Callithrix jacchus: one gene and its partners. The protein of the gene in region 3 purifies or fractionates together with the protein of the main gene of each other region. This does not show direct contact. Links are inferred from orthologs where the notes say so. Each region holds a gene or a part of one and is shown on either strand. Other genes may lie near its edges.

What was found. Proteins that work in one complex are often made in the same cells at the same time.
Region 1: the proteins of FOXO1 (region 3) and SIRT1 purify together in Homo sapiens (affinity purification with western blotting; 5 studies listed by BioGRID and IntAct, with this or other methods). This does not show direct contact. The link is inferred for Callithrix jacchus from reciprocal best matches to the Homo sapiens genes FOXO1 and SIRT1.
Region 2: the proteins of FOXO1 (region 3) and SIRT2 purify together in Homo sapiens (affinity purification with western blotting; 3 studies listed by BioGRID). This does not show direct contact. The link is inferred for Callithrix jacchus from reciprocal best matches to the Homo sapiens genes FOXO1 and SIRT2.

The regions. Positions count from the first base shown.
Region 1 is NC_133513.1:62,527,168-62,534,961, forward strand, and holds the start of SIRT1 (NAD-dependent protein deacetylase sirtuin-1), read right to left. Parts: upstream 4,374-7,794; 5' UTR 4,365-4,373; coding exon 3,917-4,364; intron 3,874-3,916; exon of another isoform or gene 3,659-3,873; intron 2,120-3,658; coding exon 2,003-2,119; intron 1-2,002. UniProt on the Homo sapiens protein: NAD-dependent protein deacetylase that links transcriptional regulation directly to intracellular energetics and participates in the coordination of several separated cellular functions such as cell cycle, response to DNA damage, metabolism, apoptosis and autophagy.
Region 2 is NC_133523.1:34,457,702-34,465,487, forward strand, and holds the start of SIRT2 (NAD-dependent protein deacetylase sirtuin-2), read right to left. Parts: upstream 4,374-7,786; 5' UTR 4,272-4,373; coding exon 4,256-4,271; exon of another isoform or gene 4,150-4,255; intron 3,181-4,149; coding exon 3,134-3,180; intron 312-3,133; exon of another isoform or gene 181-311; coding exon of another isoform or gene 178-180; intron 1-177. Other genes in the region: NFKBIB (NF-kappa-B inhibitor beta), read left to right, coding at 4,785-4,963, 6,586-6,691, 6,774-7,107. UniProt on the Homo sapiens protein: NAD-dependent protein deacetylase, which deacetylates internal lysines on histone and alpha-tubulin as well as many other proteins such as key transcription factors.
Region 3 is NC_133506.1:159,846,569-159,854,310, forward strand, and holds the start of FOXO1 (forkhead box protein O1), read right to left. Parts: upstream 4,287-7,742; 5' UTR 3,855-4,286; coding exon 3,228-3,854; intron 1-3,227. UniProt on the Homo sapiens protein: Transcription factor that is the main target of insulin signaling and regulates metabolic homeostasis in response to oxidative stress.

The DNA.
Region 1 (7,794 bases), on a different chromosome or scaffold from region 3:
TTCTTATGGTTAAAATCTAGAAACATACACCACAATAACACAAAAGTATTTACAAAAAGCTGCTACAAGTCAACACAGAAAAGATCGTACCAGACCTAAAAGCCTATACTACTTACCATTAAAACCACACAGGAAAAAGAAATGAAAACCTATACATAACTGCCAGCTTAATTATTTTTCCGGTAATTTTTCAATTTGACCTTAACTAATCTTGCAAGATAATACATACGATGTTGTTGTTCTGAGAATTAATCATTTTCTTTTCCTTTTTTTTTTTTGGAGACAAGAGTTTCGCTCTTGCTACCCAGGCTGGAGTGCAATGGCTCGATCTCGGCTTACCACAACCTCCCGACTCCCAGGTTCAATCGATTCTCCTACCTCAGCCTCCTGAGAAGCTGGGTTTAGAGGCACGTGCCATCAAGCTTGGCTATTTTTTTTTTGTACTTTTAGTAGAGACTGGGTTTCACTGTGTTAGCCAGATGGTCTTGATCTCGTGACCTGGTGATCTGCCCGCCTCAGTCTCCCAAAGTGCTGGGATTACAGGCGTGAGCCACCATACCCAGCCTAATCATTTTCTTTTACCCTGAAATTGCTGAAATCAGCTCCCTAGTTGATTAAAAATATATATATATTTAAATAAAACTACAGACACCAAAGAGAAACTAATCTTTACTGTTTAAATAATCAAACCATTTGTAAAGATTCACTTTCAGCTGGGAGAGGTGGCTCACACCTGTAATCCCAACACTTTGGGAGACCGAGAGGGGCAGATCACTTCAGGTCAGGAGTTCGAGACCAGCCTGGCCAACATGGCAAAACTGTCTCTATTAAAAATATAAAAATTAGCTGGGCATGGTGGCATGCTCCTATAATCCTAGCTACTCAGGAGGCTGAGGCATAAGAATCACTTGAATCCAGAAGGTAGAGGTTGTAGTAAGCCAAGGTTGGCCACCGCATTCCAGAGACAAAGACTCCATCTCAAAAAAAAAAAGAAAGAAAAGAAAAAAGATGATCCACTTTCAAGATGATTATGTTATTACCTTTGGTATAAAAATCTAAAAATGCTTTCTATTACAAAATATTTTCCCATTTCATTCACATATTTATTAAATATTTACTCACGTTTATTAAATATTTGTTGAGCACAAACTATGTGCCAGGCACATTTTAGGCACTGACAAAACAACAGTATACAAGTCAGTCGAAAATACCTGATCCCTGGCCAGATGCAGTGACTCACACCTGTAATCCCAGCATTTTGGGAGGCTTCGCAGGCGCATCACCTGAGGTTGGGAGCTCGAGACCAGGCTCACCAACGTGGAGAAACCCGTCTCTACTAAAAATACAAAATTAGTCGGGCGTGGTGGCGCATGCCTATAATTTCAGCTACTAGGGAGGCGAAGACTGCGGTGAGCTGAGATCGCGCCCTTGCACTACAGCCTGGGCAAGAAGAGCAAAACTTCGTGACCCCTCCCCCCCCAACAAAAAAAAAAATTCCTGCTCCTGTGAAACTTACATATTCTAGACCAGGAAACAATACAATGTAAGATATAGCACTTGTTGAGAAGTGATAAGTATAAAAGTGAAAAAAACAAGAAATATGAAGTAAGTGAGAAAGACAGTCTAACTGGATGAAGAAAAAAAAAAGGCCGGGCACAAGGGCTCATGCCTGTAATCCCAGCACTTTGGGAGGCCAAGGCGGGCGGATCACAAATTCAGGAGTTTGAGACCAGCCTGACCAACATGGTGAAACCCTGTCTCCACTAAAAAAAAAAAAAAAAACTCAAAAATTAGCCAGGCATGGGGGTGGGTGCCTGTAAGCCCAGCTACTCAGAAGGCTGAGGCGGGAGAATTGCTTGAACCCAGGAAGTGGAGGTTGCAGATTGCACCACTGCACTCCATCCAGCCTGGGCGACAGAGTGAGACTGTCTCAAAAAAACCAACAAGGACAACAACAAAAAGCATACATTTACTCTCTTAAGTTAACAGCTCTGAGCCATACCTATCCGTGGCCTTGGAGTCCAGTCACTAGAGCTTGCATGTGAGGCTCTATCCTCCTCATCACTTTCACAGGAATGAAAACCATTAGTGATAATTTCATCACCGAACAGAAGGTTATCTGCAAAACAAACCAAAAGTCAGCCAAGACTACCAAAACAATGTGCACCTAATATGTATGAAGACCCATAAAGGGTTATAGTGTAATCATTTTCATTAAGCATTTAACATTTATATTGTATGTGTAAATGCTATGGGGTCGGCTTGCACTTCTCATAGGTACAGTTTCTTCATATTTAGGAATTCTGCTCTGACTCTAAAAGTTTCGGCCAAAATCTAAAAATAAATTAAGTCTACTTAAACAGAAAAGATAGTAACATATAGAAAGTATCAACCACAAACAATAGAGTTCGTGAAACTTGTAATAAATGGAAATTTACACAAAAATGTCATTCAAATAAAACTGGCAAAGTGCACTTTAAATTCATATAATACTAAACATAGGTATCTCTGAATTGTTTCCTCTATTAAATAATAAACAGTATTAACAACACAATTATTAAATTAGCATTCAACTGTGTTGCTTGAAATCAGGGTCTCTTGACCGGGCACAGCGGCTCACGCCTGTAATCCCAGCACTTTGGGAGGCCGAAGCGGGCGGATCACCTGAGGTCGGGAGATCGAGACTACACTGACCAACGTGATGAAACCCCATCTCTATATTTTAAAAAAAATTAATAATAATAAAAAAAGGCACACATTACTTTTTTTGAGACAGGGTCTCACTGTGTTGTCCACCGTGGAGTGCAGTGGCGCGATCATAGTTCACTGCAACCTCGAACTCCTGGGCTCAAGAGATCCTCCCGCCTCAGTAGCTCGGACTACAACTGTGCACCACCATGCACGGCTAATCTTTTTAAAAAATTTTTAGTAGAAAGGTGGTCTCACTATGTTGCCCAGGCTGGTCTAAAACTTCCAGGCTCAAGAGATCCTCCCGCTTTGGCCTCCCAAAGGGCTGGGATTACAAGAAAGAGACACTGCGCCCGGCCTGACCCAAATATTGATAAAGATGAACACCTCTCAAAAATAGAAATTCCTCAGATGAAAAATATAAAACCTTCAAAAACACGACAAATGCAACATATCTGCTTCATTATACTAGCAATGTTAAATGTGTCTCAGTACATACATACAAAAGAGTATGCTTCGCCTCAACACCGTCACCGTACACAAGAGCAAGATTAAAATAAAAGTAATACGAACTGCTCTAAAAGTAGTATGACTCTCCCATGCCCACTACTAACTGCATTACAGAATGGTAATGTCTTCAGGAACAGCCATGTTCTTTATATTTTGCAGGCTGTGACTACAGAAACAGCTTTGCTCTTTTAAAAATTGTAATTTCAGGCATAAAAATATAGACCCTAAAAAAAAGCAAATTGCACAAGTGTCAGATTGCAAAAAGTAATTGAAAATGCCGACGAACGGGGACAGCAAAAAGTTGCAGACTTAAGTGTCCTGGGGGGAGGGCGGGGAGAAAAAAGCAACCCCCCCCCAAAAAAAAGGGGGAAAAAAAAAAGCTCTAACAAAAGCAATATGCTAAAAGAGTAAGAGGGAAAAGAGAAAACTTATTTTAAAGCGACTGCGAGAGCCTCCCGACCTGGCTGCTGCGCAAAGCGCAAGGCCTCCCAGGCCGGCCACAGACAGAGAAAAAGCGAATCCACCCGCAGCTCCCGCAGCAGGAACGGCAGCCCCGGAGGAGCGCAATTAAGCGGAGGGCCGTGGTGGGGAAGAGAACGCCACGGAGCCTGCCCCGAGTCTCCGGCGCGTCCCAGAGACCCCCTCAACCCCACGCCAGGAAGATCCCCGGGAGAGGGAGGAGGGGATGCGCAGTTCCGGCAGCCCGCACCCTGCGCACCTCGGTACCCAATCGCCGCCGCCGCCGCCGCCTCTTCCTCCTCGTCGCCCTCGTCGTCGTCGTCGTCGTCGTCTTCGTCGTAGAAGTCGTCAGCCGGCGGTGGCTCCTGAGATAGGCCCTGCAGGCCCGGCCCATTGTCTCCTTCCCCAGCCACGGCCGTCGCCTGGGCCTCTTGTTCCCCGCCCGCCGCCGCCGCTCCCCCTGCCCCTGCCTCCGCCTCCCGCCACAGCGCCGCCGCAGCCGCCGGGCAGCTCTCGGCCGCCGCCGGCACCTCACGCTCCGGGGCCGTCCCACCGAGCTCGTTCGGGCTCCGCTCGGGGCCAGGACCATCTCTCCGCGGCCTCTTGCGGAGCGGCTCCCCGGCGGGCGGGGACGCGGCCTCCCTCTCGGCCGCCGCCGCCGAGGGGGAGCCGCCGGGCTGAAGGACCAGGGCCGCCTCGTCCGCCATCTTCCAACTGCCTCTCTGGCCCTCCTCCGTCGCCTCCTCTGCTCCCGCTTGACGCGCGGCACTGGCGCCCCCGCGGCTCCGGCTGCGGGAGATTTAAACCCCGTCACGTGACCCGCCCCATCGCCACCCCCGCCCTCTAGGCGCTCCCGCCACCCACGCGGGCCAGACCACAACACTACGGGTCACGTGGCGGGCGGAGGCAGCTGCGTCTACTACTCCGCCTGAGCTGGTAGGAAACTGTGCCCCGGCGGCCCGCGGCCGTACCCTTCTGTGGCACAGGCGTGTTGTGCAGCCAAATTCGCCCCTCGGCCGCTTTCTCAGCTTCTCTTTCAAACCGACCTCAAATCATTACCGCCCGAACAACTCCAGTTTTGGTCCGCACTGGGAATTTTTACTTCTGCCTCAAGTGTACACCTGGCCTGCCTTAGCCTTGTCTAGATTTAGCTAAGGGTTAAAACACACATGAAGCTGGCTAAGACTCAGCTCCCTTAAATACGCTGGATAGCCGTTCTGTTTCGTCAATGGGTAGGAAGAGAGGCAAAAGGAGGCGGCTCCCTTCCCACCCTCCTCACAAGCACACCATTCTCACAGTTCTTCTTTAGCTTTTTTCTGCTCCTTGCTTCTCTCCTTAGTCGGTTGTTTTTGCCCCTCTCCGTCACTTGTAGGGTGGTATAGATTGTCAGATCCTTTAAGGCATATGTCCTCATGGGAAGACGACCTTTGACACGAGGGTTTGGAGATCAGCTGGTTTGCATTCTGGCCCCAGCTTGGCTTCAAGCGTGTGTGAATTCCCTTCTCTGGGGCTCAGTTTTCTCACGTACAGAATGGGTGTGTTGGGTCAGTATGAGGAGAGTATGGAAGGAAAAGGACTTGGCCTCCATGCACATCTGCGCTTGGTTAAAATTTGGAGTCCTTCCTTTCTAGCATGAGCTATCTATGTAGCCGTTTGTTTATTTATTTATTTATTTATTTATTTATTTGAGACGCAGTTTTGCCCTTGTTACCCAGGCTGGAGTGCAATGGTGCGATGTCGGCTCACCGCAATCTCCGCCTCCTGGGTTCAGGCAATTCTCCTGCATCAGCCTCCTGAGTAGCTGGTATTACAGGCACGCGCCACCATGCCCAGCTAATTTTTTGTATTTTTAGTAGAGACGGGGTTTCACCATGTTGACCAGGATGGTCTCGATCTCTTGACCTTGTGATCCACCCGCCTCGGCCTCCCAAACTGCTGGGATTACAGGCGTGAGCCACTGCGCCTGGCCCATTTATTTATTTATTTATTTAAGACGGGGCGGTGGGGGGGGGGCTTGCTCTGTCGCCAGGCTGGAGTGCAGAGGCACGATCTCGCCTCACTGCAACCTCCACCTCCCAGGTTCAAGCGATTTTCCTGCCTCAGCCTCCTGAATAGCTGGGATTACAGGCGCGCCACCACGCCTGGACCTATGTAGCCTTTTCTAAACACAATTTTTCTCATGTCTTAAATGGTAATAATACGTATTTTGCAGGGTCATGGTGAGATTTAAATGAGATAACCTAGTGTAAAATGAAAGGTACCTAGTAGTTCAAAAGCGTTATTGGAAAGCCTTTCCAGTTACTTTCTTCCCTCCCTGAAATTCTGGGACACTGTGACTCCATAGCTAACCATAACTAAGGACTCATATAACCCACGGTAGATCTAGAGCCAGTGTTTGTTATGGCATCTGCCTGGAGCACAGCGTTTCTATCAAAATCTTTAATCGAGATGGGGTCTTGCTATGTTGTCCAGGTTGGCCTCAAACTCCTGACCTCAAGGCATCCTCCTGCCTATTTTGTCTTTTTCACTACGTTAGAAGACAAGTGTTGGCCGGGCGTCGTGGCTCACCCCTGTAATCCCAGCACTTTGGGAGGCCAGGGTGGGCAGATCACGAGGTCAGGAGTTTGAGACCAGCCTGATCAACATGGTAAAACCCTGTCTCTACTAAAAATACAAAATATTAGCCAGGTGTGGTGGCGCATGCCTGTAATCCCAACTACTCAAGTGGCTGAGGCAAGAGAATTGCTTGAACCCAGGAGGCAGAGGTTTCAGTAAGCTGAGATCATGCCACTGCACTCCAGGGTGACAGGGCAAGACTCCACTTCACCAAAAAAAAAAAAAGACAAATGGTGTACTTTCCTACAGAACTTAGTATTCTTCACTTTATCAAACAACATTTGGGTAGCTGTGTGAAATTTTCAAACTATGGCAAATAGACTGTTTAGTAATGCACCTGACTTCCGCCAGCAGTATACAAACCTAGATCAGGTTCTCAACTGGGATATTTTGCCCTCCATCCCCCAGAGGACACTTGACATTTCAAAGACATTTTTGGTTGTCACACCTGCAAGAAGGATGTACTACTGGCATCCAGTGGATAGAGGCCAGGGGTGTTGCTAAACGTTCTAGAAATCTAGAGAATAGCTGTCTACAGCAAATAGTTATCCAGCCAAAGTTTCAACAGTACCATGGTTGAGAAACACTGATCTAAAGTTTCAACCCTATAGGTCAAGTGGTAATGATTGAGGCTCTAAGTGAGGAACGTTCCCAAGGGAATGAAGAGGCAAGCTTTTATTACCAAAGCTAGGTTGCAGAGTAGCATAGGAGTGATTTTCACACTGGTTTTTATCAGAATCCACCCACTGAATGAACTTAACTCTATTATATAGTATCATGAAGATATATTTCCTTTTTAAAGGACTCTCATTAATTAGTAAGAAAAAGATTGTAGCCTAGTTGGAAATAAAGAGTTCAGTTCACAGAAAGTGGGACACACGTGGCTTTTAAACACATGAAAAATGTAAAACCTCACTCATAGGTTAACCTGCAACAAAATACCAGTTTTTACCCATCAAAATAGTAAGGAACTAGCAGGCACAGTAATTCACACCTGTAATCCTAGAATGTTGGGAGGCCCAGGCGGGCAAATCACTTGGGGTCAGGAGTTTGAGACCAGACTGGCCAACATGGCAAAACCTCATCTCTACTAAAAATACAAAAATCAGCTGGGCGTGATGGCAGGTGTCTATAATCGCAGCTACTCAAGAGGCTGATGCAGGAGAATCACTAGAACCCAGGAAGTGGAGGTTGCAGTGAGTCAAGATTGTGCCATTGTACTCCAGCCTGGGTGACAGAGCAAGACTCTTCTTTTCTTTTCTTTCTTTCTTTTTTTTTTTTTTAAAGATGGAGTCTTGTTCTGTCACCCAGGCTGAAGTGCAGTGGTGCAATCTCTGCTCACTGCAACCTCCGCCTCCTGGGCTGAAATGATTCTCTTGCCTCAGCCTCCCGAGTAGCTGGGATTACAGGAGCCTGCCACCACGCCTAGCTGATTTTTGTATTTTTAGTAGAGATGGGGCTTTCACCATGTTGACCAGGCTGGTCTTGAACTCCTGACCTCATGATCCACCTGCCTCGGCC
Region 2 (7,786 bases), on a different chromosome or scaffold from region 3:
AGGAGTTCAAGACCAGCCTAGGTAATACAGTGAGACTCTGTCTCTATTTAAAGAGAGAGAGAACGAGAGACAGAGAGACAAAGAGAAAGAGAGATTGGACAACCTCTGCAAAACCTTGACCATACTCGTGTATACTTCAGCAAGGGGGGCATTTGCCTTGTAATTGCCCAAGCTCACCATTATAAAGATAACGATTGTTGGCCGGGTGAGGTGGCTCACGCCTGTAATCCAAGCACTTTGGAGGCCAAGGCAGGCGGATCACCTAACGTTGGGCGTTGAGGACCAGCCTGACCAACATGGTGAAACCCCGTCTTAAAAAAAAAAAGAAAAAAAGAAAAAAAAAGATAACCATTGTTAACTATGCCTAATGGTAATTACTCCAGTTTTCTCTGTATAAAAGTAATTATTGTTACAGAAATAGGTCACAGAATGATGCAAGATCTTGAGTTTTCTGCAGAACAATATACTACAGGCCCATCCCATTAAAAAAATTTTTTTTTGCTGGGTCAAATGCAATTTCAAAAAGAAAAAAATTTTTTTTAAAAAAGAGACAGTGGGCCAGGCGCGGTGCTAGTCAGTAATCCCAGAACTTTGGGAGGCAGAGGCGGGAGGATCACAAGGTCAGGAGTTCAAGACCAGCCTGACCAACGTGGTGAAACCACATTTCTACTAAAAAACAAAAAATTAGCCAGAAGTGGTTCCACGCACCTGTAATCCCAGCTACTTGGGAAGCTGAGGCAGAAAAGTCTCTTGAACCCAGGAGGCAGAGGTTGCAGTGAGCCGAGAGTATGCCATTGTATTCCAACCGGGGCAACAGAGCAAGACTCTGTCTCGAAAAAAAAAAAAAAAGAGAGACAGTATCTTGTTATGTTGCCCAGGCCGTTCTCGAATTCCTGGGCTCAAGTGATCCTCCTGCCTCCCAAAGTGCTGGGATTACAGGTGTGAGACACCGTGCCTGGCCTCACCTCATTCTTCACAGCAGCTGCATAGATTTAGGTTGTATGGATGAACCATAGTTCATTTAACCCATCCACTGACAGCCATTTGGACTGTTTCCAGTTTGGCCCTGTGACGGACAATGCTGCATTTTACATCTCTCTCTTTGGGACTGAGGCTCCTTTTTCACATTCAACCTTTTTCTCTGACAGTGGTGGTGCTTTGGGGGCCAGGCGAGTGACTTGCCACAGTCTAACAGGAGGCTGTTATACCCTCAGCATGGCTCCACTGTGCATTTGTGAAGTATTCTGATGCCCACTTCTGCACCACCCCACATCTGAAAGGCAATCTCGGGGGTGTGGGTGGGCTGGCACTCTTTCAGGCTGTACACAGTGAGGCTCTGTGGAGGGCCTGTGCCCAGCATGTCCCTGCAGCTTGGCCTAAGGGAGAGCTGGAGGTGCTGGCAGGTGCCTTCAGGCTCCCATGAGACTGCCTGCCCACCTCTCCTGGCAGCTGCTGGCAGGCAGTGCACCCAGTGCTGGGGGACTCAAACTCTTCCTTTTTTTATTTTTATTTTTATTTTTTTGAGACAGAGTCTCTTTCTGCCACCAGGTACCAGGCTGGAATGCAGTGGAGCGATCTTGGCACACTGCAACCTCCGCCTCCCAGGTTCAAGCAATTCTCCTGCCTCACAGCTTCTTGAGTAGCTGGGACTACAAGCTTTGTATTTTTCAGTAGAGACGGGGTTTCACCATGTGGGCCAGGATGGTCACAATCTCTTGACCTCAAGTGATCTGCCCGCCTTGGCCTCCCAAAGTGCTGGGATTACAGGCGTGAGCCACCATGCCCGGTCTCAAACCCTTCCTTACTCCTGTCACCTAGGGACAGAGGATAAGTGACTTAACAACTCTGCCTCAAATTCTGCAACTGTAAAATGGCCATGATAGGCATTTCTCTTCACAGGGATGCCAGGAAGATGAAATGAGATGAGGCACATTTGTCACTAAACAGTGCCCAGCCTAAGTAAGCTGTCAGTCAACGCTAACCACGACTATCACAAGCTGACCACCACCAGCTGCCCAATTACGGAACACACCATTACACTCCTTCATGCCCCCAGGTCAGGTCTTTGCACAAGCTGTACCTGCTGTGTGAACCACCATTTCTCACCTTGTCTAAGAAAATTCTAAGTCACTCTTCACTTATGCTGTGTCTGATGGCTAGACCAGCCTGCAGACTCCTCCAGGGACTGGTCTGGCTGGAATCTTCTTTGACCCAGAAACTTTTCTCTGTGCTCCCACAGTGCCCTGAGTTTCTTTCTTTTTATTCCTTTTTTTTTTTTTTTTGAGACAGGGTCTTGCTCTGTCACCCAGGTTGGAGTGTAATGTCACAATCATGGCACACCACGGCCTCAACCTCCTGGGCTTAAGCAATCCTCCCCCCACTCAGCCTCCTGAGTAGCTGGCACTACAGGCATGAAACACTACACATGGCTAATTTCTAAATTTTTTATAGAGATGGGGGCCACCTATGTTGGCCAGACTGGTCTGAAACTCCCGGGCTCAAGCGATCCTCCTACCCTAGCCTCGCAAAGTAATGGAATTACAAGCATGAGCCACTGTGTCGGGCCCTGAGTTACTTTCTTTCTTTCTTTTTTACTTCTTAGAGAAAGGGTCTTGCTCTTTTACCCAGGGTGGAGTGTCACTATGCAATCATAGCTCACTGCAGCCTCAAACTCCTGGACTCAAGTGACCCTCATGCCTTAGCCTCCTGAGTTATTAGGATTACAGGTATAAGCCACTGCACCTGCCTCCCCCGCCCGTACCCTGAGTTCCTTTCATCATCAGGCTGTCGGATCATTTTTCCCATTACTTGTCCATGAGATCTGTGTGTTCCAAGACCAAATGGGACACCTGTCTCTTCCAGGCCCAGGACAAATTTGGTTTAGAAGGGATGGGAGGCAGTGGCAAGGAAGGAGGAGAGTTTGGGAGGGCAAGCCTGGACTCGAGACTGCAAACTCTTCTGTGACAATCCCCAGAATCTGCCTGTCCCCATAAAGCTGCCCTGGGTGGCGTGAGGATTGGGACAATGAGCCAAGGGCCCTGGGGTGACTGTCTCTCCTTTGCCACCTCCCCCCAGCATGGGATGTGGAACAAGTCCATGTCTCTCCTCCCCTCCACCATTTCCCCCATCTCACCTGAGCCTCCTGCACCTTCCCTGCCTGGGTCTCCAGAGGGTGAGAGGCTGGGGGAGGGGAGCAGAGGTGGTTACAGTAGGGAGAACGATTAAGGGGGGAACACAAGGGTTCAAATTGTCAGTGAGGGGGCAAGAACACCCACCAACCTAGTTACACTGGGACGGGGTGGTGGTAAAATTGGAGCAGAGGGAAAGAGGGGATGGGAGAAAATATCTTATCCGCATGCAAAGTGGTGCCCGGGGAGGTGATTAGTGAGGGGCAGAGAGGCTGGGGAGGAAGATTTAGGAGGACAGGGAGAAGTAGGGGCTTTTGCCCAGGCTGGTCTTGAACTCCTGGGCTCAATCGATCCAACCACCTTGGCCTCCCAAAGTACTGGGATTACAGGCATGAGCCATTGTGTCTGGCCCTGACTTTCTTTGTCTTTTACTTTTTAGAGAAAGGGCCTGGCTCATGTCACCCAGGCTGGAGTGCAATGGTGCGATCATAGCTCACTGCAGCCTCAAACTCCTGGGCTCAAGCGATCCTCCTTCCTCCTGCCTAGGGGATTCAGGGCATGAAGGAACACTCAGGAGGAGTTAGGAAGGACGCAGCAGTGTGAGTGTGTGTGCGGGAGGGTTAGGTTTACAAGGCAGAGGGAAGTTTAGAAAGGAAGGGAGAAGGGAGGGGACGCTTCGGCTGGGAGGCAGGTCTGGGAGGGAGGTGCAGTGGTGCAGTGGAGGCGGTAGGTTTGGGAGAGGCGCGGATACGAAGGGAAGCCATAGGAGGGGACAACAGGGGTCCCTCAGCATCCTCCGGTTGCCTCTAACAATTAGGTACCCTTAGCAACAGGGACCGCGGCAACTTAGGTTCTTTGCAGCGAGGGTCCTCAGCAACCAAGATACGAAAAACACGCCATTATTGGCAACTTGGCAAGCGGATGTGATAAACCAACCCCGAACAACCTGCGACCCAGAAACCCACCAGCCTAGCGATACAGATCGCTTAGCAACAACCCTCAGAATCCCACTATCCGAAGCGCTCCCTACTTCCCGCCCCGCAGCGGCCGCCCTCGGGCCCCGGGGCCTGCAGCCTTCAGCTAGGCCCCGGCGCGGCCCGACCCTCCCACCCGGGTCCCCGACTCACGGTCTGGCTCTGCCATGGGCACGGTGCTGAAGCCCTCGTGGCTGTCACCGATCGCTCTGTCCCGTCACCAACCACTGTGTCCCGTCACCGACTGCTCTGTCCTGTCACCGACTGCTCTGTCCCGTGACGGCACCAGAAATGGGAGTGGCCGGGATAGGGCTTAGAACTACAACTCCCAGTAGCCATTGCGGCAGAAGCCGCGCTTTCGTACGACAGCCAGAGCGCCCCAGACTTAGGTAAGAAAGCGCGCTAGGGCCGGACTTCGAGTCCCAGAAGGCGCGGCGTCAGCAGCCATGTTGGTAAAGGGCGCCCGGAAAATGTAAAAACGGCTAGTGAGTCGTAGTCCTCCCAAATACTCTGATTGGTCACGATATGGTACCAGGGTAGGGCGCGAGCGATTCAGCATATTATCATTGGATGAATTAGGGGGCGTGGTGGGGAATTTCCCGCAGGGCGGAAGCGCCAGAACTGCCGGCAAAGCCCAGCTCCAGGCAAGCGACTGCGGGGGGCCCCTGAGGTGGCGGGGGCCATGGCTGGGGTCGCGTGCTTGGGAAAAGCTGCCGACGCAGATGAATGGTGCGACAGCGGCCTGGGCTCCCTGGGTCCGGACGCAGCGGCCCCCGGAGGACCGGGCTTGGTCGCAGAGCTGGGCCCGGGGCTGTCGTGGGCGCCCCTTGTCTTCGGCTACGTCACTGAGGATGGGGACACGTGAGTGAACCTTAGGTTGCCAAACGGAGCCCTAGGACCCGGCGTCTGATTCCCCATTAGTTTCTGATCCCTGAGGCTTCCTAACCTCCTACTCCTAAATCTGATTTCCGATGCTGAACTTCCTGACCTGTAACCCCTGAGTCCTAACTTTTAACAAAACCAATCTTCTATCCAGCTGTGATGCTAACCCAATCATTTCAGACCTTCCTTTCTTGAACTATGATTCTCAGCTCCTGGAATCCACATTCTGTCCACGGATACCCAAACCCGACTCCAGTCCTGAGGCTTTTGTTAGAACTGTGGCTTCTCCTGACTTCGAACCTCCAAATATAATCTTTGATTCTTAGTTCCTGATGTGAGCCTTAGACTGATTTCCGAAATTAATACTTGGTCCCTGACTCTAAGATCTTGTTTTCTGAGCAGTGTTCTTCAAGTCTTAAAAGAGTGAGAATGTAAGTTCTCCTATGTTGAATTCCTAATTGAAGTAGAAAAATAGAAAAAGAAAAAAGAATGTAAGCTCCATGAAACCAAGGATTCATCTGTTGAACAAATATTCTTTACATATTACCACATTCCAGGCTTCGTTTTAGGTGCTAGTGATAAAGGCAGTGAAGAAAACAGACAAAAAACTAAAGCCCTTGTGAAGGAGACGTTTTATTTTAGTGGGGCTAAACAGATTGATAAGACAGCAAGGAAGGAAAGAAACAGAAAGACAGAAAGAAACAAAGACATGCAGAAAGAAAGACACAGAAAGTAAGAGAAGGAAAGAAAGTCACAGGTTGTCAGTACTTTGGAGAAAAATAAAGCAGGAAAATGAGGCAATAGATAAACAAGATAAGAGCATTTCAGGCAGAAGGAACTGCAATTGCAAAGGCCCAGATGAGGGACTGTACTGGGTTTTTTTGTCTGTTGTGTTTACTGCCCTATGCCCAGTGATGCAGGCAGTGCCTGTCCCAGGAAGCAGTTAATAAATACTGATCTTACCAAAGAACCAGCTTTAGGTTTATTAATTTTTGTTAATTAATTTGGTTTCATTAATTTTATTTTAGTTTTCAATTGGTCTTTGATTCTTAGCTCACTCCAAAGTGTGAGCTACTGCGCCTGGCCAACAACTCTGTCCTGTGACTCTTGCAAGCCTGGTCTCTACAGACTCTTCCTCCATGTCCATCTCCTGACCTCAGACAACCTGATGGGCTCTGCTTGGGGTCCCCTCTCTCAACCGTGGCTCTCAAGACCATAAGCTGTGGCAGTCAAGTGTAGGGCCCACCTCATGTTTCCTGTCTTTCGGGGGCCACTGTGATTCATTGCATGACGTCCAGCGTCTTCAACACTGTTGCTTCATATACCGTATTGCGTCTGATTTTTCTTTGTTTCTTGTGGGAGGGAAGTCTGGTCCATGTTACTTCATTTTGGGCAGAAGTGGAAATCCCACTGAATAAACATTGTTGGTTCCACAAATTTGCTGATGAAACTCTGACCTCTCTGACCCTCCCAGATAGCTGACAGTGGGTTCCAGAACTGTGGTCCCAAAGCCTAGCATACAGTAGCCACCCCATGTTTGTTGAATGAAGGAATGCAAGAGGACTTGAATTTTGCCCTCTGACCCCAGTCTTTGTCCCCAGGGCACTGCATTTGGCTGTGATTCATCAGCACGAACCCTTCCTGGATTTTCTTCTAGGCTTCTCAGCCGGCACTGAGTACATGGACCTGCAGAATGACCTAGGCCAGGTGAGCCACGAGGGGATGGAGTAGGGGTTGGGGTCTGGGGTTCCCAGTGTGACTCCCTACTGCCTGTCCTCTGCTTCTGCAGACGGCCCTGCACCTGGCAGCCATCCTGGGGGAGGCATCCACGGTGGAGAAGCTGTATGCAGCAGGCGCTGGGCTGTGCGTGGCAGAGCGTGGGGGCCACACGGCGCTACACCTGGCCTGCCGTGTGGGGGCACTTGCCTGTGCCCGTGCCCTGCTTCAGCCCCGCCCTCGGCGGCCCAGGGAAGCCCCGGACACCTACCTCGCTCATGGCCCAGACCACAATCCCGACACCAACCATACCCCTGTCACCTTGTACCCCGATTCTGACTTGGAGAAGGAAGAAGAGGAGAGTGAGGAGGAGTGGAAGCTACAGCTGGAGGCTGAAAACTATGAGGGTGAGGGTCGCCACCAGGGAAGGACTGAGCTCCCAGGCTAGGTGAGAGCACCTGGCCCTGGGCTCTCTTCCCTGATTCCAGACCGAACTCCTTGGGAAATCACGCCTAGGCTTCAGGAACCCAGGCATCGGGACCAGGGACCTCCACTCAGGGCCCAGATGATTGACAATTGGATATGTAAGACCCAGGATTCCCACTTGGAGGCCCCAGATCACTTGGGACGCAGACCTGGCACTCATAGACCCAGAGCTGCCAGGATCCAGTTGCTGGGCCCTTGGGCTCCCCACCTGCAGGGTGTATTCAAGCTGGTATCCCTACCCCACCTAGGACCAGGGAATGCAGAGCTCAGGCCCTCTGGGAAACTCTGGCACCCCAGGTTCCCAGTGATGGGCAGCAGGGACAGCCCTCCTCTGCCTCATGGGAAAAAGGAGTCACCTGCCCACAGCCTGGCATCCAAGTTTCTGCTCCCTCACCTATAAGCCTGCCCACCTGGTACCAGACCCCTCCTCAGATGGACTGAGGTCGTTCAGGACCCATTGTTAAGGGCCTGCATCTCACCCCCAGATCACAGGCTTTTCAGCCACTTGGTAGCCCCCCCTTTTTTTTTTTTTTTTTTTTTTTTTTTTGAGTCGGAGTCCCACTCTCCACCAGGCTGGAGTGCAGTGGTGTGATTTCAGCT
Region 3 (7,742 bases):
TCAACTCAAAACTGCCATTTATTTTAAAATTCGGAGTTCACAATACCACTTCCCAAGTTTTAGAAGGCTTTCTATGTGAGAAAACAGGTCATGAAAATGAAGTTTCACTATTTATAAATACTGCACTAGATTTAGAAGATCCCAGGTTTTCCCAAAAGCCTTAGGTTCCACCTTGTGTGTGACTTTATGGCAATTCTAGCCAATATTAAAACAAGTGTAAGACATTTAACATATCATCCCCACAAACACAAAATGCATATCCTTCAAATATAACCAGCACTTAACTATCTAAAGAATGACATTAAAAGTTTTTGAATTCATTAACAGCTTCCTAACTAGTCTGTCCTATGCAAATGACTCAAACTTTCAGGCAGTCCCCAGGAAGTAGCACACAAGAAACTATTTAAGATTCAGCCTAATTCCCAGTAGTAAATCACAGGAAATATTTTGTTCCAAAGCAACTTCTCGGTCCTAAAACAGGTAAGTTTTGGTTGATTTGCATTTAAAAACTGGATTTAAGTTAAAAGTCATAATAAAATTTCTCTTTTATGAATCTTAGAACAGGAATCTTTCAGATCTGAGCGAAACTTGGTTTTAACAAGTAACTCGTTTTTATGAAACTCTAACCAGAAGATTAGTTATGAGTTAGAACAGCTCAGGTTGTTTCTTTTCTTCTTAAAATACTCTTTTACTCAAACTGAAAAAGCACTTGCTGTAATCCGACTTAAATCAACCGACCGTACACCTGAAACATTTACTCATTTGAGAAGCAGCCTGACTCCAGAGCAAAGCCCCATTAGGCTCCCCCTGGGAGCCGCCCGCCGGCCTCCAATTCTAGACAGTTAGTCCTTAACAGGTCTCCTAGCTCTGGCAATTCAAAAAAACAAAAATAAAAACACTAAATTATTCTCCCATTTAAAAAAAAAAAAAAATGAGAACAAGAACCTGGTAAAATGGTTGCAAAGATGATTTAACATCAGAATCTATTTTTTAAAAACCTAAATCTTAAAAAGTATAAGTTATATTCCCAGTTCAAGACTAACACGCTGACAACGCCATTTGAGTCGCAAAACTAAAAATATCCCAAACACTGCCTTTATCTTTCAAGAAAGGCACTCCAGCAAGTTGAAGTAGGTTGTATCCATTTCCAAGGACTAAAGAATGGTGTAAGTATACACTACTTTGAATGCAAAAAAAAAGGGGGGGGGCGGGATTTTATTTAATGGCTAATACTCTGTAACAGCTGAGATAGAATTGATAGATGAGCAAGTAAGTCAAGTACTTAAATTCAAATGTTAAGTAAAACAAGACTTGGCAGACAATTTCGATTTTGTGACTTAAAAGAACATATGCTGAGCTTAAAGATAAGAAGGCACTTTACCTTTTTCAAACACTCGGTAAAATTGCATGTAATGCCTGGTAATGAAGCGATAAGTGATACCTTTACTCTAAAACATACTTTGGAAAAAATAAAATGCATCTTGAACTCCTCCAGGAGCTTCAATACGGTGTGAGTAACTTAACCTTTTTGACACGCTTTAACCACAGGGACGACACTATGTAAAATAACCTTGGTTTAACAACTGCGCAGCAAACACCAATCTTTATTATGCTATACAGTCGACAAGAGAGGCGAGGAAAGTTTGTTTTAAAAGGTGTTTAGCTCGGCCGGGCGCAGTGGCTCACGCCTGTTATCCCCAACATTTTGGGAGGCCGAGGTGGGCGGATCACGAAGTCAGGAGATCGAGACCATTCTGGTCAACATGGTAAAACGCCGTCTCTACTAAAAATACAAAAATTAGCTGGGCGTGGTGGTTCCTGCCTGTAATCCCGGCTACTCGGAAGGCTGAGGCAGAGAATCGCGTGAACCAGGGAGTCGGAGGTTGCAGTGAGCCAAGATCGCACCACTGCACTCCAGCCTGGCGACAGAGCGAGACTCCGTCTCAAAAAACAGTGTTTACTCAACTAGTCAGCCTTTACAGCAGTTCTGCCACCGGTGACAGTGAGAAACTGTCAGCTTGGGGAGGCCGCGCGGCGACTGGACCTCGCCCCCGGGAAGCCTCCCCGGACCTAGCCGAGGCCCTCCTCGGAGTCGGTAAGTGCCTGCCCCCACGCTGAAGTGCCTCCTGGCCACGTTCTGAAAGGCAAAAATCCTCCTTCCAGGCTCCGCTCCCTCAACGCGCACCGCCACTCCGACTCCGTCAAAACACTGGTCGCAAAGCCCCTCGTCTGGCCCCCAGCTCCCCCATCTGGACCTCCCCGCTCAAGAATAGGGTAGAGCAAGGCAGGAAAAGACGCACACATCCCAGCCCCCGGCACCCCAGGGCAGCCTCTGTGTTTCTAACTAAAAGCCTCGTACCAGGGGCAAGACCAGATTCGGGCGCTTCCCCCATGGGGAAGCGCGGGCCCCAAGGCGCCCGACCCGGACGCGCTGGCCCTTTAAAGGCACTAGCTTCCTGCGCCCAGAGCCCCTCCCTCGTCACCGCCCGCGCCCGCCCCCGCCGAGGGTCACACTTGAACTTTAGCTCGCCCCGCGCGGCCGGGCGCCGGCGCTCCGCAGGCGGTGGCCGCCCCTTCGCACGTGTCGGAGGCGCCACCTCGGGATCGGGACGCCCGGCCCCCTGAACTCGAGGCCACTCCGGAGAAAACCAAAACAAAGCAAAATGCGCACCGCCTCCCGAAACTGCGTGGCCGGACTTACACCGTCCCCAGCCGATCGCGCTCTGCCAGTCCCCTCCACCTGCAGCCCCGTCCCGGGGCAGGGAGGCTCCGGGGACCCTTTCCGTGCCCTCCCCCGCCGCGCCCGGCGGAAACAGCCTCGCGGCGCGGCGGGAGAGGACCCGCCCTCGCCCCGCGGAGGTCAAGGAGGGAAGGGGCAGCCGAAGCAGTCAGCGCGGGCCGTGGGGGTGCCGCTCCCAGCGAACCCCTTTCTCCTTTCACTGGCAAACTTTTCGGCCGCTCTGACGTCCACTTCTTGACGCACGTTCTTTACTTAGTTCCCCAACGAACCCCTGTCCGCGTCCCACGCGGACTCTGGCGCGCGCGCACACCTACTGCGGTCCCGGACGGACCCGGGCGAGCCCACTGCGACCACCGATTCGCGCCCGCCCTCCTAGGCACGCGCTGCCCTCCTGCCCCGCACCCTCGGGCCGAGCAAACCTGCACAGCTGCGCCCTCGCCTGCCCCACCGCGCCCCCAAGGTCCGGCCGCGCGCCGAGGCCGCTCACCTTCCAGCCCGCGGAGCTGTTGCTGTCACCCTTATCCTTGAAGTAGGGCACGCTCTTGACCATCCACTCGTAGATCTGCGACAGCGTGAGCCGCTTCTCCGCCGAACTCTCGATGGCCTTGGTGATGAGGTCAGCGTAGGACAGGTTGCCCCACGCGTTGCGGCGGGACGAGCTGCTCTTGCGCGGCTGTCCCGCGAGCGGCCCGGCGGCGGCGGGGGGCACTGGTGGGTGCTGCGGCAGCGGCCCGGGCGGCGGGGGCTGCGGCGGCGCTGGGTGCAGGCAGCCCGCCTCCGGGCCCTGGAAGTCCCCGCACAGTCCCCCGGCGGCGGCCACGGCAGCCGCCGCCACCGCCGCCGCCACGGAGCCGGGCGCCTGCGGGAAGTCCTCGTTCTCCTCCAGCAGGCTCAGGTTGCTCATGAACTCAGCGCTGACAGCGGCCGCCGAGGCCGAGGGCAGGCCCGCCGCGGCGTCGGGATTGGCAGCCGCGCCGCCCGACGGCGCCGGGCTGGAGGTGGCCGAACTGGACTGGCTAAACTCCGGCCTGGGCAGCGGCCAGGTGCACGAGCGCGGCCGGGGCAGCGGCTCGAAGTCCGGGTCGATCTCCACCACCTGGGGCGCTTCGGCCATGGTGACCCCCGCCCCTCCCCCAGCCGCGAGAGAGCCGAGAGGGGAAGAGCGCAGCACCGGGGGCAGAGGGCGAGGGGGCGCGAAGAGACGGTCCGGGATTTGGGGGGACGAAGCCGGTGCGCCGAGCGGACGGACACTGGGAGGAAGGCGCGGCGGGGTGCAGGCGCGAGCCCAGAACTTAACTTCGCGGGGCCATCCACATCCAGGCTCCTCGGGGTCTGCCGCACGGACTGGACGGCGGGCCGGAGCCGCCGAGCCGGGGCACAGCCTGCGCCGCGCTCCCGCTGACAGGGCCGCGGACGGAAGGACGGACGGACGCCGCGGCCGCTCGCTTTGCCCGGCGGCGCGCCCGCTGCGCTGCTGCCTGTTGAATGTGGCGGCGGCGGCGGCGGCGGCTGCAGCAACTACGAGGCCGCCCGACTTACGGGATCTGCCGCCGCCCCCCGCCCGCGGCGACGCGCGCGCCGGCCCGCCCCTGACCGACAGTTCGCGCAGCCAATGGGCACGCGGCACCGCCGCCCGGGCAGCCAGTGCGCTCCGGGCTGGGCGGGGCCCGGTTTTCCGCCGGGAGGCGGCAGTGGGCTGGTGGGGGTAGCGGGGTGTTTTTCTCTTTCACACACCTTTTTTATTTTTTTTGGATCTCTGTTATTTTCTGGTAATTCTCGAGTGTTTCTGTGATTCTCTCGCCTTCTCAGTGTTTTGATTGCTAGGAAGCAAACCAGCGTGGAGGTGGCGGCGACACTTTGTTTACTACGGAGCTGCAGAGCCGAGTACTCTGGAAGCCCGGGTGGGACGAGGCGCTCGCTACGCCCTGACCTCGGCTGCGGGCCGAGTCCCGCGAGCGGGCAGGGCCGGGGGCCGGGGGCGCGGGGTGGACGGGCGGAGGCGGCCGCGCAGAATTCTACCCAGTAGCTCCCTCCTGGCTCCACCCACGAAGTCTTTGCTGAGCAACGTGGGGAATCGCTGGGTTTTGTTTTGGTTGAATGTTTTCTTTCGCTGCGATCTGTCAAGTCCTCCGGCCCCCGCACGGGCGGCACGCGCCCCCCGCCCCAGGCGCCGCGGCCCCCCGCGGTGGAGTCCGCGCCTAGGGTGCCTTCTCCGCGCCCCGCGCCCACCTGTCCGCACCCCCGGGCTCAGCCTGTGCCTTTCTGTCTAGCTGCGGACGCGTCGCCCAGCCGAGCAGCCCCCAGCCGGATTTACTGTATCCTTGACCTTTTTTAAAGGGCTAAACGTGAGGAACTGGGACTCCGGCGCCCGGAGGAGGTACTCCGGTCTCAGTGCAGACAGGGATCCAAAGGCACCCGCAACCGCCTGCCCTCCGTGGGAACTTCTTCCCCTGGGCGGGAACTTCCAGCTTCGTCCACTGAGTTCAGGGCCCGCAGCGAAGGGCTTAGGAACGCAGTTATCGAGAACCAAGACACTTTACTACCTACCCCTAATTAAATTTAACTGTTTGTTATTTTATATTTACAACGGAAGTGATCGGGTGTTAAGTAAAAACGGCGGGGGGGGGCGGGGGATAGGACCAAAGCCTTGGGGCGCAGCCTGCCCCACCCCCAAGTTCTTGAGGCTACTTGCTGTGTGCGTCAGTCAAACCCCCACCCACACCCCATCTTTCCTCATCTGGGCTGCAGGTCCAGGACATCCTGTCAAGGATCAGTGGGGCCAAAGGTAGGAAGATAATGGCCCTTGTGTCTCAGGGAGCAGAAGAAACAGTTTTCCAGTTTTGTTTTGTTATGCCTTTGCTTTTTTAGGAAGAATATGGAAGGCATTTCCTTTTAGAGGGATGGGACCACTCAGAATAGAAGATGGACAGTAAGGTTTTTAATATCTTGCCCAAAAGGACAGCTTCCAACTCTTAAAAAAAAAAAAAAATCCCCTTTCTTTCTTACAAGTAATTCTGCTATAGAAAAAGTAGCATCTAGGCGGGGCGCGGTGGCCCACGTCCATAATCCCAGCACTTTGGGAGGCCGACGCGGGTGGATCACGAAGTCAAGAGATCGAGACCATCCTGACCAACATGGTAAAACCCCATGTCTACTAAAAATACAAAAATTAGCTGGGGGTGGTGACACGGGCCTGTAGTCCCAGCTACTCGGGAGGCTGAGGCAGAATTGCCTGAACCCAGGAGGCGGAGGTTGCGGTGAGCCGAGATCGCGACATTGCACTCCAGCCTGGGTAACGAGGGAAACTCCGTCTAAAAAAAAGAAAGAAAGAAAGAATAGCATCTAGAGAAAATTAAGTCTGTTGGACGAGAGATTGTTGGAAAAAAAAGGAGAAAATGAAAAAATTAGGCCTTTTAACTTTTTACAAAAGTTAAAAAGATTTAGAGAGCGATCTGTTTCTTCTTTTATATTCTTCCTATCCTCTCTCTAGTCCGGGCCCCAGTTTCTTCATGATCCATTTATCACTACAGCTTCTTAATGATACTAGGAATGGGTGGGGTGGGGAGCCTGAGCCGGATGGATTGGGGACGGGTGGAGACTGGTTCCCACCCTTGCCTAGTGGTCTCTTCACGTTTACTGTCAAATTTGGACAGTCTGGGCCTCCTCTGCCAGCCGCTAGGGGACCTCAGTAACCCAGATGATGCGCTCCAAGGCAGGCCCCAAAGTACAGCTGTTGCTTCCCCCAACCTTTCCAGTTACACTCCGCAGAAGCAGTCCCCGATCCAGACAGCCGCACCCTAAAAATAGGCGGTGCCGGAGTGGATCATTCTTGGCAAAGAAAGCCAGCTTCAAATTTGGCCTTGCCTTCATTTCTATTCCGGTTTTTCAGGGCGTCAATCAGAGAAGAATATTTATTTGGTTAAGGGAGTCTTCCTACAGACTTTCCCCAAATCCTTGAAATCTTTGAGGCTCTCCCACCCAGTTGTGTTTCTTCAAATGTTATAGTTTGGTTTTATTTGGTCTTTAAAAAAAAAAGAAAGAAAGAAAAATTGAAGAGGCAGGCACAGAGAACGTATAGCACCAATGTCCCTGACACATAGGTCCAAAAAATATATATTGAAGGGTTTTTACAGCTAACTACCACACCGTTGTATCTAAGTATCAATTTCCTGAACCCCAGGATGTTGGTGAATATGTGACTTGTTTCCAGTCTTGAGCTATCACAGACTATTCTGTAAGAAATAACCTTGCGTAACTTCATTTCACATCTCTAAAAGTGTATCTACAGGAGGAATTTCCAGAAATGGGAGTCACTGGGTCAGCAGGTGACCCATGCATGATTTTGAAAGGCACAGCCAAATTGCCCTTCATCAGGGTTATATCAAGCTAAACTTTCTTTTCCATTAGACCCACAGAATGTTAAACTTGAAAGTAAACTTGGAGATCACCTTGGTGACCCTCTTTAACTTAGAAAAAGAGAGGTACAAAGAGGCTGATTTGCCCAAGCTCACATAAGAGTGGTGATGCAGCTCTCATTTTTCACTTTCCCATCAGTAACCTTCTCAACACACAGATGAAAAATTATAAATATCCTGCAATCCCACTATAGCTATAACCATTATAACTTCGTAGTGTATTTCCTTTCAGTCAACCCGCAGATCTTAGTAATAACAGATGAACTCCACTGAACCAAATGAAGGTTTGATTTAAAAGACCAAGTAGAGGGCTGGGCGTGGTAGCTCAAGCCTGTAATCCCAGCACTTTGGGAGGCCGAGGCGGGTGGATCACGAGGTCAAGAGATCGAGACCATCCTGTCAACATGGTGAAACCCCGTCTCTACTAAAAATCCAAAAAAATTAGCTGGGCATGGTGGCGCCTGCCTGTAATCCCAGCTACTCAGGAGGCTGAGGCAGGAGAATTGCCTGAACCCAGGAGGCGGAGGTTGTAGTGAGCCGAGATCGCGCCATTGCACTCCAGCCTGGGTAACAACAGCGAAACTTGG